2 linked regions of the Canis lupus familiaris genome follow. The protein of the gene in region 2 interacts with the protein of the main gene of each other region in a biochemical or structural test. Links are inferred from orthologs where the notes say so. Each region holds a gene or a part of one and is shown on either strand. Other genes may lie near its edges.

Region 1 (10,154 bases), on a different chromosome or scaffold from region 2:
CTAGACAAACCCTTAGGAGTGTGAGTTCTCTTATTTTAAAAAAGGGAAAAGATAAAGAACACTCTCTAAAAATTGGGATTACCCAGATAATAATATGCAAGCAAGTTAGATCCCCCAAGAGTTTCTTCCTATGAATGCAATGGTGCCATATATGTGTGTCCCAATATATGTAACATTTATGTGGAATAGTTAAGCTCAAATTTAGAGCAGCTGTTATTCTTTTGGAATTTTTCAGTAATGGAAGTTTCTTCTTTCACAGGTATCAAGGTTATATTTATACATACAGAGTGTCCCAGACAGAAACAGGTTCTTGGAGTGCTGAGGTACAGCTCTTTTATTTATTTTTTGTTTCTGGGGGAAATGGGAAGGTGTTTGAAGTTTAAGTTGGTTTTATAAAAGAGTTGTCAAATCCTACATTCCCCAAATATTCATCAAATTCAAATCACTGAAGCTCCGACCCAAAATTGTTCATGGATCATTAAGAAGGCTTTAGAGGATTTTTGTTCCAGTTCTGTTCAGCCACCATTGTATAGAACGGTCTCACTTTGGGCGAAATATACAAAAGTTGAAGGATTGTGTCAGACTTTTAGTGCCTATGCAAAATTTTAGAAAGCGTATACAAAATGTGTAAAATGGTTAAATAAGCAATTATTTACCAGATGATACCAATATGAGCGTTGGTTCTATGGTGGATTAAACAACATGACTCCTGTTTTCTAAGAGCCTATAATACTCTCAGGGAGATACAACATGAATTAAACAGTGATGTGAGAGCTGAGTTTGTCCTCACGTAGATCTGGATTCCAGGTATGATACCTCCTCCTCCCTGACAGGTCTATAACCTTGGGCAGGTTACTTAACTTTGAACAAATTTCTTCATCTGTAAAATAAGCCTAAAAATAGTTCTTCACTCATAGGGCTCATTTTAAAAAATATTTTATTTACTTATTTGACAGAGAGAGAGAGAGAGAGAGCACAAGTGGGGGGAGCGTCAGGCAGAGGGAGAGGAAGAGCAAGAAGCAAGCTCCTTGCTGAGCAGGAAGCCCAATTCGGGCCTGGATCCCAGGACCCCAGAATCATGACCTGAGCCGAAGGCAGATGCTTAACCAACTGAGCCACCCAAGTGCCCCATAGGGCTCATTTTGGAGGTTAAATAAGATAATGCATATAAAAGAAAGCTCTTAGCCACAAGACCTGGTACATAGTAAGCCCTCAAAAATGTGAACTCACCCAGACTCTGGACAACATGATTATTGTCTAGCATAACAATGTTATGCTATGTTATCTAGCATAGGAGTTCAAAGAAGGGAGGATTTTCCAAATATTAGTAATCAAGATTGCTCTTTGTGTGGAGGCAAGACTCCCAGCTGGGCCATGTGGAAAGCACATGGGTAGGCAGATAAAATTAGAGGAAACATTACAGTGGTTTTGAAGGTATGCTCTGCAAAATCCTAAGGTTCTTCTACCTGGGTGCCTTGGGGTTGCTAGAGGTGGTGCACAGAGGGAGAGGAGGACAAAAGTGGGTATGCTTTTGGGTCCCCAATTCATCTTTGATCTGAGAGATTCACTTTTGCTTATCAACTGGGGCTCAAATAAGATTTCGTTAGAAAAATGGGTTCTGATGGCTTTGAAAACATTTGAGAGTCACTATGCCATTGCACGTAATGCCTGCAGAGTGAATCTATTTCCATGTAACAAGGTAGTATATCGCATCTTACCGATGTACAGGTCTCTACAACTGAAATTTTGACCTCAAATTCTTTCTTTGATTTCTGAGAAAGAAACAGCCTGTCTTTGTAATGAAAGCACTTCGTTATGAGTTGTTTGAAAACATAAATGCAAATAGCAACCTCTGTTAATAACTCAATCTATGAGTTTAAGAAATTCTAAAGTCTAGACTTCAAAAAAATTAAAATAGCTCTAACCTTTACAAATTCATCAGTAAATTAGAAAGCCCAAGTCGTAGACTACAAATGTTTTGAACTACAGAGATGAATTAGGGCATGTTTTAAAACACGTTGTCGCTTTATATAATAAATAAATAAATAAATAAGTAATAATAATAATTTATAATCATCACAGATAATTAATACTGTAATACTAATTAGAGGCAAAGCAGTAACACATCTAATCAAAATGACTTTTACCCATTTATATTTTAAAATTCTCTGCAGCACTGCAGAGATGATTGAATAAGAAATTAAATTTCATTTATTATGAAGAATAGCTATGTGTGATATAGACATCTATATTTGTATATAGTTTGATTAGAAATAGCCCTTCTCCCCAGAGAAGTAGCCTTAAGCTGCTAAAGAGTATTCTTTATGGAAAATGTCTTAAATTATTAGGGTTTAGCTAATCTTGTCTTTAAATTTGTTTTCTTCTAGTTCAAGTATAACATCATATGCAGATTGTTACATGATTGTGATCATGTTAAGGAAGAAAGGGCTTATTGAACATAAATGTCCTTTCATCCTGTTGTCTGGTCCGACCCCGTTTATATAATGATATTGTAATTATCTGCACCAAGAGAGCAGAAGATTGGCATGTTTTCTCCAAAGGGAAAACAGTTTTTTAAAAAATGCTTTATATTTATTTTTGTAATGCATATTGCATTTTTTCTATCTACTAAATTTGCTTTCTTAGTTATGTTTTTGCTAAGGGAATATTAAACTAGTGTGTGTTCTCAGAGCTCATATCACCTGACAGTAAGAAATTTCTCTAGAGCATATTGAAGACCAGCTGTGATCCAAAACATGTTTCCATGGATAACTAAGAGATGGCGGTATGAGAAATGTGCAAATATGAACAATAGCTGAGTTCAGTAGCAGAACGGGAGTTGTCAGTGGTATAATTCTTGTGGTAAATATATTCTCAAAACTGGTTAAATGACAGATATTTATACTGCCTTTTGGAACAATGCTTTAGTTTGCCACCCTGCAGGAAAAGTCATGGCAGTAACATTCTATCCTCTGTGCAAAGATTGTGCTAGAAATCTAAGTATATCTGAGATTTGTTTCAAAAAGTGGAATGAAATTTGAACGCTGGATCCACCAAATTATGAAAGACAAATATTATATGAATTTCTACACTAAAAAAAGGATTTTATTTATTTGACAAAGAGATAGTAAAAGAGTACAGGCAGGGGGAGTGGCAGGCAGAGGGAGAGGGAGAAGCAAGCTCCCTGCTGAGCAGAGAGCCCAACATGGGACTAGATCCCAGCACCCCCGGATCATGACCTGGGCGGAAGGCAGGCATGTAACAGACTGAGCCACCCAGGCACCCCCATGTGAATTTCTACTTTTAGATAGACTTTTAGGTTTTATCATTGCCTAGTGTATTAACTTATCTCCTGTGACTCAGTAGAATTTTGCTAAATTGTTAATTTAGAGAATTTTACACCCAATCAACTATCCTTTACTAATATGTGCATTGTCATCAGTGTATTGTAAAGAAAATGTACTAACCTCCCCTTATTGACTTCAGTGCCTTTGGGCTTTTCTGGATGTTTGATCATCGGTAGATGCTAAATAATTTTACTTACTAATCTAAGGAAAACTCTATAAATTAGGATAGTCATTTGCCAGTGAAACATTATATCCCAAATTCAAATTGTACATCTAGTGCTATTATTCCTTCTGTTTGTGTGGATAATCAAGTGTTAACTGCATATAAGTCCCCATAAAAAAGATGCTTCTGTTGATAAATGGTTTTATAAGCCACAAGAACAGCTAAAAAGATGTGTGGTTTGAAATCTTTCCACACTGGGGGAGTGAGCAGTTTCTCTTCTGGTTGGTGACTCTAACTTCTCTAGAAGCTGTTTGGTCTTATCCTCTCTGTTGGTGAATTCATTGTGGATATTGGCCTGAAAGACAAAAGACTGGGTCCTGTGATCTAGAAATTGAAAAAGTGCCATAAGGAAAATATAAGGAGGCATTTTGTGCCTATGACCTGCCTGTGCAATTTAGAGATTCTCTTGAAGCCGATGAACTGTTTGGAGCTCTGTAAGAAAAGCCATGGTATTTTGGATAAGGTCTCAAGTTGAGTCCTAGAAAGGTGCTTAAAAAATTTTTTTTTAAGATTTATTTATTTATTTTAGAGTGTAGGTGGAGAGGGGCAGAGGGAGAGAGAAAGAGAGAATCTGAAGCAGACTACCTGCTGAGCACAGAGCCCGATGTGGGGCACGATGCAGGGCTCGATCCCACAACCCCGAGATTGTGAGCTGGGCTGAAATCAAGAGTCGACTGTTCAACAGACTGAGCCACTCAGGTGCCCCAAATTCTGGGAAGGTGTTTTTGACTATAGGGGTGGCACTGAGACAGAGAATGTTCTACATCTACTGAGGCTCCAAGCTGTGTGAGCCTATGAGTGGGCACTAATTTAAAGCTAGAAAGAATTTTTTCGGTGCTTTCAAAGAAAAATGACTTGCCCCAGTGTGGGAAATGACTAAGTTACTATGGACCGCATGCTGTCTTCAGCTTTTAGTCGAGTTGGCTAAAGTTTGCATGCCAGCCTTCACGTTTTCTCATTAACTGCTAACAAACAAACAGCTCCCACCTCAAAAATCTTCCAGATGGAAGAGCTGAAAAACAGCTTTCAAAAAAAAAAAAAACCTAGTCATTGTTCAATTGCTTATAGCAATACTATTTTATTTTATGTAAAATGACAGTTTTGAGTTGATGCCTAAAGCTGAGCTCGCAAGCTTTTGCAGGAAATTGTCGTTTTCAGCAGTTCCTTTGCAAGAGAATTGATGTCAGGAAAGGAATACATTTTAATAGTCACTTGCAAATAATGATCTCTTCAAAAGCAAACAAACAAATAAATAAAGGTGACCTTATATAGTCTTTCATTTTCGTGTCATAGAGAAAACCTTGTCACGGTGAAGTGTTGGCAGAGAGCAATTTGGGGGAGGATAGGGAAGTGTCCCAAGGAGGAACAAATTTAATGAAGGATGAGGCAGGACACATTGTGAGGTGAGAGTCTAGGGACTAACTAGCGATATGTTGTGTGTCCCGTAACGGTCAATTTTTAATTTCCTGTGGAGCATTTTTATTGTGGAATGATGACAGGGAGGATGGGTTGTTGTTGTTGTTGGTTTGGTTTTTCAGGCTTTTTATTAATGACCTGTATGATCTGTGCTTTTTTCTGTGTTTAACTGCATTCTCTCTGTTGGTGCATTCATTGTGGGTAATGGCCTGTATACCCTCAGAGGCTCAGGATGTATGATGGGTAGCAGGCAGGAAGGGCAGGGCGAGGAGCAAGAGCTTGTACAAACTAATACCACCCTTGGGAGAACTGAAATGACAGCTCATTAGCTCCTCTTGCAGGGAAATTCAGCCAACCAAAGTAAGCTCTTCTAGAACTGTTGTTTTTCCTTCTTCCTTATGTTTTCAAATATTTGAACAAGTTACACAAATGTTACCTCTCTACGCATCCCTCCCACATTTTGTAGGCCTATTTGTGTCATTAGGAGATAGGTGAATAATTTGCTTGGCCTTTTATTTTCCAGACAGCACCTGGGGTTCATAAAAGATTTTTCCGGAAAATAAAAAATCTCATTTCAGCATTTCAGAAGCCAGATCAAGGTATTGTAATACCTCTGCAGTATCCAGTTGAGAAGAAGTGCTCAGTTAGAAGTGCACAAGGTACTCCAGGTATGGTTTACCGTTGATTTGCTTGGCAGCTCGGGGTTATGAGTCAACCTGTTCATAAATATATGGTTATGGGAAATTCTTTAGAAACATGCAGTGGGGAAGTAGGTGTTGCCAACCAAGCGAGCAAGAGGGGACTCTTCACAGGCTATGATTTCAATATGCTATACTGTAAGCTTTTAACAAAACTCCGGGAAAATGTAAAAAATTCGATGAGCCCACAACATGTAAACCTCTCTTTTCCCGTCATGTTCTCTCTTGACCCTTTTGTCAAGGCAGAAGTACCATTTCACTTCACTAATTTGGGCACAAAACATTTGAAAGACGGGACAGTTTGGAAAACACCTGGGCTGTCCCTTACCTGTGATTGGTAGACTATTTTCTCCTTCAGGGTTGGAAAGGCTAATGTTAGCGTGGTCCACGTGATCCTGCTTTCTGAATTTGTGGTGCTTGAATTAATGACACTTTATTGTAGAGGAGGACACTAAATTAGTACACTTTATTATTCTACAGGCACATATTGTTACATCTCCTGAGCAAAGGTACTTTAGTGTACGGATCAAGCTAACGACAGAATACTGGTCAATGTCTGCAGATATGTGATTGTCTATTCATCTACTGAAAGGGGTTAATCACTTGTTTGGAGTAAGAGGATATGCCTTGATTGAAACAATAAATATTTATGATTAGAAAAATGAGCTGTCAGGTCCTTTTTTGACAGGGACCCAGGCTCAGGCATAAATTGACAATTAGACTTAAGTGCTGAATTAAATTAATGAGTAGTTAGCCTTTATAATAGAGATGTAAATAGAACTCCAATTTACAAATTACACGTTATGATTGCAAACTGTTCTATTCTTTAGAACTCAGTTTTAAGTACTGGTTGCTTGAGCTGTATCACTGGGTTATATCTTTGTGAGCTTTATGCCGTGGGAAATTTTATGGTTACAAGTTTGAGTTAACCTGTAATTTTAATAGCTTGTGAGTTTATCTTTTCTTGATTTTCACGATTATTTTTCTTTAGGGAGAAGAGAAGATCCTGATGTCTTCCTGAAAGCACCATGAAGAAAAATCAAATACTTTGTACTTTATTTTCTATAATTTAAATATATGCTAAGTCTTATATATTGTAGATAATACAGTTCAGTGAGCTGCAAATATATTTCTAAAGCCATCATAGTCCTGTAATGGAAGTATCTAGCATCATGTAAAAGCTGAAATGGACTTTGCCAATAATGAGGAGCTTCGAAATGAGGTTATTTTCAGTTATATTTTCAAATGGGAAACTGATTCAAAACATAACGATACTTTATAAAAGATAAATGTCAATTCTTGCCAAATATAAATAAAAATAATCCTCAGTTTTTCTCAAAAGCACCATTTTTAGTGAAATATTATTTGACAGCTACTGCTTTTAAAATGTCTTGCTTGGTTAGATGGCAGGAAGCCGATTTGTGTCCCTTGTCTTTGTCCTGTGTGGTTCTAATTAGGTATTACGCTCTCCACTAGCTCTGGTGGTGTAGGGTCTTCGGGGATTTATGAGTTGTGCCCTGTGTGTTAAAAAGAGTACTGGATAAAGTGTGAAGAATTGCTCTTTAATTCTGAAAGCAACCTTTTCGCCTAGTGTTCTGATGCCGGATAGAGGACCCCATAGCCCAATCCGGAATTTAAAAATCCCGTCATTTAAAATATGTTCTCAACGTCTAGTATATTTGATATTATAGGATTTTTCATCTACCTCTGCCCCAGTTGTCAGTACTCCATGTAAAACCTTAATTTGAAAGGAAGCTCCTGCCCACGGCTGTGCAAGCGGTCTCCCTATTTGGTAGCCCAAGAACACTGGAAACCTTATGGTTATGTTGTTTTTTAACAGTTCCAAGTGATGGCAACCTAAGGGAGAGTCAAGATTTTACACAGTGACAGATATTTATATTTTTTCTCACATTTATATTTTCATGGCTTTTGTGATTTGATTCTGTATCATTTTGGGGCTCCTAGAATTTATTCACCAAACACAATATAGGGACTGGGGTACAGAGATAAATGCACCCAGCCACTGTGCTCAGGCGGCTTGCTGTCTAGTTGGACAAGAAAACAGTAACAATTAAAAAAAAGTAACAGGGAAAGACCAAAAGATGTCAATAAAAGGTGATAAGCACGGTCTATGTGAGGTTCCGCTGTGTAGGTAGATCTGTTGTCAGAGGCAGAATGAGTCAAGACAAATACTCTGGTCCATGGTCCATAGGAAAATGTGAAGTTCTATTATAAACTAATACATTGGAATTCTGGGTTGTACATGAGTGGGGGGTGGACTTGATGAGCTGCCAAGAGACAGAGCTACTCTCCGTGCACTGGCAAGATTTGGTGTTTGAGCATTTGACATGGACGCAATGAGAGTGCAAAGGTGGAATCGGGCCATAATAATGTATTGTGGGCCATTTACCGTTTCTAGAAGTAAAAGCACCACTTTAACTTGTGAAGGAATTTGGAAAGCCGACTTTCAAATCAAAATGCATATGTTTAGATAATTTTTTCTTATTTGTCGTTTGGGTTTAAATTTTAATAGGTGTATCTAATTTTCACTCTCTCTAACTTGTTCGTTCTGGAATAATCCTAAATATATGAATTATGTATGCATGTTTCTTTATCAGAGTCTCTTTTGAAAAAGCTTTTTGAATCATTAATGGTCTTTCATATTTCAATAAAGTATTTGAAAGCTCTATTTACCGAATTTGTCTTAAAATAGTTGAAAATAATATTCAGAGTTAAGTGCTATTAATATATTAAACAAAGCATTGATGAAGGCCATTGTATCTTATCGGACACATTCTCTGAAAAAGGTAAGTGCTTTTCTGAGTTTGTTACTATCAAACTTTCCAGTTGAAGTGTCTGCCCACTGTTTTCTTTTGCTGGTCTTTTACTCATAAAGTTTTTTCACTTTTTCTCTCCCAGCATAAGCATTCTTGCTATTTCCAAGTACATAATAGCTTGCGGCTTTACAGAAAGGTCATATCCTTGCCATATCTAAAATATTGCCATGCTAACATACCTGTAAGATGCTGAGTCAAGATAGAAAAATGCACGTATATTTCCAAGTGTACACCTTTCTTCAGAAAAAAAAAGTGTGTCAGCAAGCCCACAGGAACATGACAGTTTGTCAAACACTCATTCATTTCCTCTGAAGTTTGTTCTTAAGAGATAAGGTCAGTAAGGGAGACAAGCTTAGGTAATTTCAGTTTGGCTATTACAAGCAAGTAAGCTTCGTGGTAGTACGTAGATAGAATAAGGCTACAGAGGATGCCTCTGATGGAGACTTCTAGTATAAATGGAGGGCTGGATTTAAGATATTATTCGTGATAGAATGAATAGATAATTAAAAAAGTGAGAAATAGCTTTAAAAATCTGTTAAGAAGGTTTAGACATCAGCTCATGTTTTATTTGATTCACTTTATTGAGTTCAGCATCCAGAGTCTATTAATCATAAAATCCAGGTTTGCCCTTGAGCATTTCAAGGTTACAGGATGCCTAGTCTTCCTATTAGAGAGCTGTAAATTCAACGTGGTCGCCTGTGTTTGTCCTTGCAGTAAATGGGATACCATTAGTTTGGAGTTTGCAGCTAGGGGTGAAGTTAAACTACTCAGTTTGGATACTTTCATAACGTGCCCTCGTTGGCCAAACTTGTGGTAAAATGCAGAATGTTCATCGTTAGGTCGTTAGCCTCTTTAAAAAAAAAGACTTTATTTATTCATGAGAGACACACACACAGAGAGAGAGAGAGAGAGAGAAGCAGAGACACAGGCAGAGGGAGAAACAGGCTCCATGCAGGAAGCCTGATGCGGGACTCGATCCTAGGACTCCAGGATCAGACCCTGGGCCTAAAGCGGTGCTAAACCGTTGAGCCACCCAGGCTGCCCGGTCATTGGCCTCTTAAACGAATAGCTTTATGTAGAAAGATACAAGAAAACCGATTGACTGGAGAGAGCCCATAGGCATAACATTTGAGATTTGAATTTTTTCAGCTTTGTCAGATTATCCCTGAGACCTTAGTTAGGTAAGTCGGTCTGTTACTATTATTGCATTTGCCAAGCAGGAACAATGAACTCTTGCTTGCCTCCTTAGAATTACTGAGGTACTAGAATCATATAAATTTAAGGAAGTAATATGCTAAAAATTTAAATAGCACTGATATTCAAAGATCTCTAACAGGGTGAATAGGGAAGGATATGGAGAAATCTCTTCTCTCGTTTAATAATTCTCTCCGTGTAGGCGCTCTGGCCTGTTTCGTTTTGCACACTGCAGGAGGGGTGGGATGCAGAGTTGAAAAAAATGACCAGGTGATACTAATGCTTCCCCCTCACCCCCACCCCCAGTCCCCTGACCCCGTTGCTTTTTGCTGATTGGTTGTGTTGGACCGATCAAGATTGTCTTCTGCTCCAGGAATCTTCTCACTGCATCTGTGTTCCAGTGATCTCCCTTCATCTGTGGGGGATGCGTTCCAAGACT
Region 2 (10,631 bases):
CTTCGTGTACTTTCTGGTGATCGTCGGCATTTGTCTACTCATACTGTTCCTGGTCACCCTCACCTGCTTCTGTGTGTGGAGGAGGAAGAAGCGGCAGTCAGGTAAGTGGAGGGTCCCCAGGAGGTGCTGCTGCTGACCTGACGCCCCCGGGGCCGTGCGCCTGAGAGCACAGCACCTGCTTTGCCTCTGGAGCGTTGGGACATGGCTGTGCATGTTCGGGGACCCGCAGCAGCAGATGCTGGGCCCTGGCTCCCACGTCACACCTTCGGGGCCCTCGGGATGTCCACAGCCTCACGGGCCAGTTTAGCTGCAGGTGCTGGGTTGTGGGGGACCTGCCTGCCCGGTGCAGTGTGTCGGGTGGTTGCTGCTCCCGCGCCCTGTGGGTACCCTGGGGAGAGCGCTAATCTGCCTCCTTTCTAGAACCTTCCTCAAGGTCTCGGCCACCTGGGACGGAGGTGGGACTGGAGGAAGCAGAAGCCTGGATGGGATACCCTCTGGAAGTCTCTCCAGCTCTGTCTTTGCTGCTTTCCTCCCACAGCGGCCTGCCGGGGAGAGCCTCTGACGGTTTATGAAGATGTCAACCACGTGCAGATGGGGAGGAATCAAGTAGGCCGGGGGCTGGGGTCGGTCTCCTAGCCTGGGGGTGCTTCTCGGGCGGCGGGCAGGAACCGGGGGACACCGGGTACCACGCAGGTGGCTTCTCAAAGGGCTCCCCAGCCCCGGCCTGCCCTCCCTATGGCCTCCTGGCTCCGGCGGTGGAGGAGCAGCAGCAAGCGGGAAATTGCTGAGAGGGCGGGAGCCCAGCACCCCCACGGGGCGGCGGGGGCGGGGCGGGGGGGGGGGGGTTGCTGCTCCCGCTCCCTGCGCAGCCCTCGGGGCACCGTCCCTGCCAGGCTCACCGGCGCACTAGGCCCCCAGTCCGGCTCCCTTGTATCTGGCCACGGCCTCTCGTGTCCTTGCAGGTCCAGGTTCACCTTTAGGGGTCCCTTGCTGGTCGCCCTGGCTGCAGCAGACGGCCGCCTGAGCGGCATGGGGGTGCTGGGGCTCTGGGGGTCCGCGGGGTGCTCCCCCCAGGCCGGGGTCCCCCGGGGTGCTCGAGGCAGCAGGCGGGTCAGCACAAGGCTCCGGCCTCTGCGAGGCCAACTCTTCTGGGGGTGGGGGGTGGCTGCAGGGGTGGCTGCGGGGGGGGGGGGGGCGGGCTGCAGGGGGGCGGCTGCAGGGGCCTGCAGGGGGGGCTGCGAGGGGGCTGCTGGGAGGGTGCGGGGGGGGGGGGCTGCAGGGGGCTGCAGGGGGGGCTGCGGGGTGGGGGCTGCAGGGTGGGGGCTGCGGGGTGGGGGCTGCAGAGTGCCCCCTGCTGCTCTGGCTGAGCAGGGCAGGAAGTGGTCCAGGCGTGGGGGGTGCAGAGCCTAGCTGAACGTGGAGTGGGGGGCGTGGGCCCACGGGCCCCTTCCCACCTCCATTCTGGGTGCTCGACCTGAGGAGGTGAGGCAGGAAGTCACAGGGGCGAGATTTGCCACCTTATCACGTGGGAGGCCTGGTGGAGCGGACAAGCTGCTTCCTCGGGTCTGGTCTCAGGGGGAACCCGGCTGGGGTGGGGGGGTAGGGTGGGGGGGGTGGGGGGTGGACTACGGGGGTGACAGGCGAAGGAGACCCTTTCTCCATCACTACCCGATGCGGACAGACTCCTGAGAGCAAGAGCATCCACCTGCAGCGGCGGAAGCCCGAATGCTCCGGATGACTTGCCTCTCCTCCCACACAGGGAGGACGGTTTTAGGTTCAGGAAGTGAAGACTAGTGGAGGGAGCCAGAGTACAAGGACTCGGGGATGCAGGCCTGTCTCTGCCTCTGACTCCAGCTCCTCCTGCGCGGCCTCATCCCTTGCGGGCTCCTCCCTACCGGCTCCAGGGTTGCGTCTGAAGGCTTAGATCTCGAGTTCATGTGTTCTTACTGGGGGCTCAGTTCTGACCTCTCTGGAGACACTTCACTCAGGTCTGGGCAGAGAAGCAAAGCAGGAAAATCCTGTTTTTTTTTTTTTTTTTTTTTTTTCCCCCAGATGTCTATGACTTTCTAGCCTCTAAGGATAGTGAGGTTTTCTCTGCTCCTCTAGCTCCTTCCCTGTCTAATGGACCCTGCTGGCTTCCTCTTGTCCCCTTCGGAGCCCCACCTGGCAATGTGCACTCAGGGCTCCTGTGGTCAGGAGGGGCCAGGACCGGGATGGTCTCCCTGCCTTTGGCTCCAGGTCCAGGGGTTGTTGTGGGGCAGCAGGCCTGAGGCCCAGGGCAAACTGGCCCCCAAGGCCGGGCCTAGAGAAGGGGCTTTAAAACAATGAAAGCTTCTGAATTTCAAGGCCCGAGGTAAGGCTCAGATCACAGCCCTACTCAGAGCTCGGCCCATTATCAGTGATTAATGAGGCCAATTTGGCTGCGAAGTCAGCAGAGGCAAGTTTCTAAATTACCAAAGTAAAGCAAGTGATAGGATTCCCCTTGGACGGGTCACTCAGTGCATCTCTTCACACCTGGGTGGTTCCTTGGGTGGGACACCAACTACTCCAGGTGGGACACTAACTACTGCAGGTGGGTCATTCCTCCTATGGTCTCTCCCCAGCCTGTGGCAACTAATGACCACCTCCCTTCCAGCTTCCCGGAGCCCCTCTGGTTTGCTCTCTCTCTCCCCACCCCATCCAAATCTGGACAGACGCGGCCCTCCGCTCACGTTACCACGTGGCCCTTTACTATTTCTTGTGCAGGAGCAGAACCAGAATCCGCCCGGGGAAGGGAGCACCATCTACTCTGTGATCCAGTCCCAGGTACCACTCCGTGTCTCGGATCCATCCCATACCTGCCTCCAGGGCTCCCTGAGGCCTTCCGGAAGCTCACACTCCTGAATAGCAGGACTCTGGGGCTCTTAGAGTCTAGAGGACAGCTTGGCCTCAGCTGCATTAAATTGAAAAGATCTGTGTGGCTCTGGAGTCTCTTGGCAGAGCTGAACAGGGCTGGGAAGTCTGACGTAGATAGGCCTTCTCTCTCCCTCCGTGCGTGGCAGCAGGTGTGGCCCAGGTAGTTGGGAGGAGGAGGAAACTTGGCAGGGGACTCAGCTTCTGTTTTTCCCTCCCTGCCACTTCCAATACTTGGGGCCCTTATAGGTTGTCTTTGTTTTTTTGATCTCTGCTCCTCATTATACCTGTTTTCAGGAAAGAGGGTATCTGGGTTGTTCTCTTTTATTTTTCATGACTTAACAATAACATTTATTAGGTACTTACTATGTCTGTTTTCCTAACGAATCTCACATAACAGCCTCACGAAGTAGGTCCAGCACAACCTCCATTTCTCAGATGAGGAGCCAGACACAGGTTAACTAATGTGCTCCAGGCCGCAGAGCCGGGGAGTGGCAAAGCTGAGCTAGAGGGCTTCTGGGCCTCCGCCCCACCTGCCCCCTTCCTCTTTCACTTTCAGGGATTATAGAAATTCACCATAAACTGGAGAAGCATCCTCTAATTTTGACAGCTAAAATAACATTATCGCTAACCCAGACTGGGGCATCTCTCTCGAGGGGAACGCTGCCTCTTGGTGGCCAGTGATGAACAATTTCTGATAAATATAACTTATTTCTTAAAGAATTCAGTCCGGACGCAGTAAACTCTTCAACGTGGTGGCTAAACTGCCCGGCAAAGAAAATTCCTGGGGAAATGGTGATAGGTTTCAGGGAATGATCTAGAGAAGGAGGAAGAGGAGAGGGGGAAGGGAGGGCAATGAAGGGAAGAGGAGCTGAGGAAGAAGGAGCAGAGGAGGGAGGGAGGTGCTCAACCCTCACAGCCACTCAGGAATTCCCAAGTTGGGGACTGACTCCTTCTGCTCCCCGTGATATTGAGATTTACTGATAGTGGGGTCAAAGCTCAAGAGCCTTAGGGAGAGAGCAGGAGTGGCTGATATCTGCCAGTTTTCTAGCTTTAGCCACATTGCATCCCAACAGGAGGAATCTGAATAAATGCAGGGAAGAGCTCATCTCAGCCTGAGATGCTGAGTGATAAGGAGCCTCCTCCTCTGGACCTTCTTAGAAGGAGGGTGGTTACCTGCCTTTGAGGACACCTGGCTCAGGTGCAGAGAAGGAAGGCATGTTGCCAACAGGATGTACTAAGGTGTTGAGGAAACACCTCTGGCGAGTCTGGGGTTTCAATTCTGCTTCTACTGTGACTACACCATCTGACTTGGGTTATTTATCCTTTCGGAGCCTCATCTGTGGAGTGGGGCCAAGGATGATCATTCCTCTCGTCGGTGTGTTATCAAGGTTAGAGGAGAATGCGTGTACAGACTAGGTGACATCTTAGCGGACAGGGCCGGACTGGCATTCAGGTGTCTGACCTCCTGAGTCCAGGGTTCCTGTGGCTAATACTTCGGGCTTCTCTTTGGGCAGGGCTGGGGGGAGGGGTGGAAGAAATGGCCTCTGAGGGCCCTAGGATGCTGCTGGGTCTATGTTCCTGAAATACTTTATTTCTCTTCTCTTTAGTCTTCTGCTCCTACATCACAAGAAAACAATACGTTGTATGCATTGGTACAGCCTTCCCGGAAGGTGAGTCTCCTCCTCCAGGGCATGCTGCGAATGCAAATGTGGATTTTGCACGTGCACGGGAGGGCCACATTTGCAGAGTGCGTGGGCAACTTCCGTGAGTTGCCTTCCGTTGTGTATATCTAAGCAGTTTGGGTTAAATGGCTCTATTTAAATGAGGAAGAAATGCCTTTCTGATTGCGTTTGGAGAAAAAGAACAGCTCTGAGACTAAGCCAGCAGTGGATTAAAGGAGTCTCTAGGAGTTTCTGTGGGACAAGAACAATCAGAGATAGAAAAGTGGTGCTTTGTGCAGAGAGGCTAAGCTGTCCTTAGCAGGCCAACTGAGGTGACGGCAAGAGATACTAGAGGGGTTTCCAAGGTGGGGGAATATAGCCCAGAGCCAGAGGAGTAGCCCAGACCTAGAGAGACACAATGTTGACTTTCAGGGAACCAGAGAAATGTTCTGACCAGTCATCTGCTGGTGGGGGCCTTGGGGCTGAGGCAACCCATCACTGTCCCCTCAAATCCTGCTCTGAGCTGAGCTCACAGGTCTTTTGTGTACCTGGTGCTCATTAGTCATCTTTTCCCCTTGGGTGGGAGAGGGATTGGAAGAATGGTATTACCAAGGCTGGAGTCATAGTATGAAGACCTAGACTTAACATGGTAGTATGAGAAGTTAGGAATATGCCAAACTGTGGAAGTGTTGAGTACATGCAGGTCAGGGTCAAATGTGGGAGAGATTTAAGACAGATTTTTCAGACTTTTTATTCACCCTCCTTTCAATAAGTTATTCAATCGCTCAAGATTCTGCCATGAGAGACATTTATAATTAAGTTACCTGCTGCAATACGTGGCCATAGGGATGGTCACAGGCTTGGTGTTGTTTAGGAGATTCTACATTCTACTGAAAGTGCTTCTGAATTCCAATGTTCCTAGGGTTTCACCGTGGTCAGGGTATGTGGTAGGGTCAGTTCTTATGTGTGTCCAGAACTGCTTACACTAGGGGTGTGTGTGTATGCTCTGTGTTGATGAGATGCATGGTCTGAGCAGTATTTGTATCAGGCCTGTCTGAAGGCGTGTGTGTGAGTATGCTTGTGTGTGTGCTGGGAATGTGTGCATGTGCGGATCTGAGGGGCACGTGGATATGGGAGAGTAACCTCTGACTTTGGTTCAGAAGGTTCATGTCACACACAAGTATGTCTTGTGTCTTCTCTGGAGGTCATAAACTCCATTACTTACTCTTGGGGCAGGAGATTCTATTCTATTCTATTCTAAAATATCCAGAGATTTTTTTGGACCTTGTGTCTCTTCGGGGGCCTCTCACATCAGTTAGGAGTGGGATATTTCCCAACTTGAAGTTAAGCACTCTTTACTGTCTGAATTTGCAGTCTGAATCTAAGAAGAACCAGAGCTCTTCCTTCAGTCATACTATCTATGAAGAGGTAAGATTCTGGAGCTGCCTTCTTTTTTTTTTTAAAGATAATATATTTATTTATTCATTAGAAAGAGAGAGAGAGAGAGAGCGCGTGCATGAGCAGAAAAACAACAAAATAAATTGTTTTATTTTGGAATAAAAGGAAGCAGGCTCCCTGCTGAGCATGGAGCCCAATGTGAGGCTCAATCCCAGGACCCTGATGAGATCATGACCTGAGCCAAAGGCAGGTTCTTAACTGACTGAGCCACCCAGGCATCCCCGAGGGATCTTCTTACCCACATTTTCATTTTAAAGATAAAGAAACTGAGGTCCAACGAAAGCAAGGGTCTAATTCAAGGTCATATCATGTATTAGGGTTGGACTCTTAATGGGGAACTTGAGTTTTATTTTTTAAATGTATTTTTGTTGTTTTATTATCTCCATTTTAAAGATTTTTATTTATTTATTTGTTATTTAAATTCTATTAATGAACATATAATGTATTGTTAGTTTCAGAGGTAGAGGTCAGTGATTCATTAGTCTTACATTATACCCAGTGGGGAGCTTGTGTTTTAAATTAGGGCTGTCCTCCAGCTAGTCTCCAGTTGTGGGCTGTACACTGGACATCTGTCCCTTCCAAGGGTGTATGGGGCAAGGGTGAAGAGAAGGGAGGGTAAGTAGAGCTAAATGATTTTCTGAAGTTAGCAAGTAATTGGGAACCATTCTAGGGCATAGGTAATCTTGAGCTGCTGCTGGGATAGACACTATAGAGTGACCATTGAGCCTGGTAGCTGAATATATTCCCATCAGGCCATTTAAGTAATGGAAAATAGGGACTCAACAGTTATTAGGGGCGTATTATGTATTTGGCAGCCTGCTAGTGGCTTCATGCGAATTATCTCATTTAATTCTCATAGAGTGCCATGAGGTAGGTATAATACTTCCCACTTTTACCAGAGAAATTAGGGCATGGAGGGCACTCCCACCCACTAGCCTCATGATACACCAGAGTTTCCAAGGCCCAATAAAGAGGCTGCCAGTGGTCACAAGGGACAGGGTGGATGGGTGCCTGCTGGGATTCCTGGCACTTCAGCTGTAGCCTCACATTAAAGCCAACCAGACAGACTACGGTTGTAGAGGACACCGCGTGGGCCAACGCAATCTAGGCAGGGTCATGTTAAAAAAAAAACACTAGAATTGGAGCCAGAAGACCTGGCTTCAAGCTCCTCCTTTACTTCCTACTAGTCATTGACCCTGTTATTTATTTAACTACTCCAAGCTTCATTTTCTTTATCTGTAAAATAGGGATAATAATTCATACCTCCCAAGGTTGCTATGAAGATCTCCAAGTGGGAGGTTCTGAAGTTCTCCTTTTCTTTCACAGGTTGGAAAGAGACAACTCAACGCCCAGAACCCTGCCCGGTTGAGCCGCAAGGAGCTGGAGAACTTTCGCATATATTCCTAATTGCTGCAGCTGTTCCCTCTCTCACATCCCAGCATTGCTTGGGGGAATCAGCGCAATGGATGATACCACAGGAGTCTACAGAATGGGGCGCAGTCCAGAGAGGATACGGGAGTTTGTTTATAGTCTGTATCTTGTTTTGAAAGTGATTTCTAATAAGAGCAGGACTGTTAAATAATATCTCTCAACTTACAGACTGGACAAGAACGGGTAGACAGGTTGGGTAGTTCTTAAAAGACCGCAAAGCAAATCCAAAGCCGCACAGCAAGTTTATCAAGTGCTATGCAAATGCAGGGTGCTGTTATTATTAGCATCAAGATCCCTTCCCCTGGTTTTCTAACGTGTTACTCATCTTTCCTCCTCTCTAATCTGGAATGACCATATTTCTAGACCCTCCCCTTGCCCAGGCCCATCTTCCAAAGAGGGAGGAAAGATAATGGTGACTCAGAGCAAGAGAAACAGCTCCCCTCTGTGAGGATGGACTAACTAGCTACAAGCTGCTGGCAGTTCTCCATGGAGGAGGCTGGGGTTTTACTCAAATATAGGGGAAAAACTTCCCCCCACATATTAAACCTTTACCTCTGGCCACTTGGTCACAGCGGAGAGTGGGCAGGAGTGAGAGTAGATGGCGCAAAGCAAGCTGACCTCTGAATGGAAAAATCACCCCGAGCCCATGCCGTCCTGATAATGGGACAGTGAGACCAGCTTTGTCTCCGGTATGAGGTTTGATTTACAAGAACTCATCGTTAGAAATCTATTTTAGCTTCTTCGCAAATTCTTCACAATTAGAAACCATATTCTATTTAAGTTCTAAGCCCTGATGAGTGCTCCCCATGGCATATGCTGGAGGAAGGGCTCAGCTGGCTGAGCAGCTGGGAACTAGACAGTCTGCTGGGCTCCCCTGAGTCCTCAGGCCAGACTTCTGCAAGGCTGTGGTGACCGGGGCTGAGACTCTGGCTGGGCCCAGGAAGGCGATGAGTGTGAACTGGAAGAGGTCCTACTCAGAGACCCCGAGCAGTGGCTATTGCATGGAGCCTGCTTCTTCAATTGCCCCACTCTGTATTTAACATAGGAGTTTAATATAAAACTAATATAAAATGGTTATTCAAAGGCAATTGAAATTTCTTTTCTGAGTTAAATTTATGTGCCCCTTCCATATTCTTTACTTTACCTCTCTGTAGTAACCGAAGGGCACTTGTGCCCATCAATAAACCCATGTCTTTAACCTACTGGAGAGAGGTCTGGACTCCTTGTAAACCATCAGTGTCTCCCAGTCTTCTTCACACTGGAGCAGATGATTCCAGATCCCCAGATCCCAGGCCATTCAGTCTCATGGCAGATAGTCACAGCTTGCACTTGCTCATGCCCTGCCTGGTCCCTCTCCCCTGGGGGCTGCTTGGCTATCTCCTGGAGACAAGTGAGGACAGACCACATGAGGAGAGAAGTTCTTTGGGGGTAAATAAGGGAAGCTTATATGGAAGAGGCATTTTAAGCATTTAAAAATACATCAAAAGAGTGATACACATATATGGTTAAAAGCAGAAATGCAGACTACAAAAAAGTATGCAGTAAAAACAACAACCCAGTACAGTCCCTGGAGGCAGCCACTAATACATATTTTGTATTTCCTTTCGGAAATTTTGTATAACTATATAAATATATATATGTATATATATGTATATATATATATGTGTATATATATTCACATTTCTTCTTTATTCAACTGGTAGCATGTGATACACACTGCCCTGGAGTTTGTTCTTTCCATTCTTAGAGCTCATTCCATATTAGCAGGTACTCATCTTTCCTGTCTTTACAAAAGCAGCAGGGCTTGCTGTCGCATGGGTACACTATCATGCATTTAGCCGGATTCCTACTAAATGGACTGTTAGGTTATTTCTGTCCTCTTATTTTAAAAGGTATTGCAGTGGACATGATTTTACATAGATCTTTGTGTCCGTGAGTGAGAATGTCTGTTCGATTCGTTTTAGCAGATGTTTAGAAGATGGTGTGAAGGTCTAGGATCCTTGCAACAACACTGGACCAGTCTTGGCAGAGCTCTGAGTGGTGTGTATCTGAATTGGGAAACTGTATGAGCACTCTTGGAGACAGATGGAGCGGGGACGTCTTGAAGGCCGGGGACTCCAAGATGGAACCTGTGTCTGATTTATTAATGGGCTCAGGAAGTCATAGGGGTAGCAGGAAGGGGGTGGGTCAGATCCAGGCATTGTAGAGACACTGAAGGCAATTCTGAAGTGTTTCTGTCTCTAGGAACTCCAGGCCCCATACTGTCCAGCAGCCTCTCCAACTACAGGGGTAGAAGCAGCAGTTGCTTTTCTTTTCAGGTGAAATTTTCATAGGTAGGGATTTCAGGAGATTCAGGATCATTCTGTTGTGGTGGTGGCACCACCTGTGAGCCAAGAGACATAAGAATATGGTTAATAAAGGCTGGGAGGCTCTAGCATCTGGTGAGAGAGGAAGGTCAGCCTGGGCTAAGACTGGTCCACGCTGTAGGAGTCAGGTCGTATGGACTGATCTAGGGGTGGGACAATCCATCAAGCTGATGGCAGGCATTTACGGAGAATCTCCTTTTTTTTTTTTTAATAAAGATTTTATTTATTTATTCATGAGAAACACAGAAAGAGAGGCAGAGACACAGGCAGAGGGAGGAGAGGCAGGCTCCATGCAGGGAGCCCAATGCGAGACTCGATCCTGGGAATCCGGGATCAGGCCCTGAGCCAAAGGCAGATGCTCAACCGTTGAGCAACCTGAGCATCCCAGTGGAGAATCTCCTAATGGGAGGTTGGCTAGGCTCTCTGTAAGGAAGATAGAGAGAGGTTTAGTATAGCAAGTCAAGGGATTACAAAACTGACAATAAAAGGGCTTGCTCTTAAAGCCTTTTATATTACATATAGATCATAAATATATATAAATAAAAAATATATTATATTTATTTATTTGAAAGAGAGCACAAGCAGGGGGAGAGGCAGAGGGGAAACCAGGCTCCCCATCGAGCTGGGAGCTGAATGCGGGGCTCGATCCCAGGACTCCAGAATCATAACCTGAGCCAAAGGCAGAGACTTAACAGACTGGGCCACCCAGACGTGGAGACAAACATCTATATAAAGATATTTCAGGTGGTAGAAGTTATGTATCCAAGTGATGCATCCAGGCCCAGACCCTTAGGCCCTCGTGTTCCCAGGGTCCTGAGGA

The links. The genes of interacting proteins can lie anywhere in the genome.
Region 1: the proteins of CD244 (region 2) and SH2D1A interact in a biophysical measurement, tested with the Homo sapiens proteins (2 studies listed by IntAct). The link is inferred for Canis lupus familiaris from reciprocal best matches to the Homo sapiens genes CD244 and SH2D1A.

What each region holds. Positions count from the first base shown.
Region 1 is NC_049260.1:96,515,905-96,526,058, forward strand, and holds the end of SH2D1A (SH2 domain-containing protein 1A), read left to right. Parts: intron 1-259; coding exon 260-323; intron 324-5,509; coding exon 5,510-5,654; intron 5,655-6,675; coding exon 6,676-6,716; 3' UTR 6,717-8,373; downstream 8,374-10,154.
Region 2 is NC_049259.1:22,342,216-22,352,846, forward strand, and holds the end of CD244 (natural killer cell receptor 2B4), read left to right. Parts: coding exon 1-101; intron 102-538; coding exon 539-606; intron 607-2,745; coding exon 2,746-2,805; intron 2,806-4,502; coding exon 4,503-4,565; intron 4,566-5,930; coding exon 5,931-5,984; intron 5,985-7,340; coding exon 7,341-7,421; 3' UTR 7,422-8,647; downstream 8,648-10,631. Other genes in the region: LY9 (T-lymphocyte surface antigen Ly-9), read right to left, coding at 9,760-9,828. UniProt on the Homo sapiens protein: Heterophilic receptor of the signaling lymphocytic activation molecule (SLAM) family; its ligand is CD48.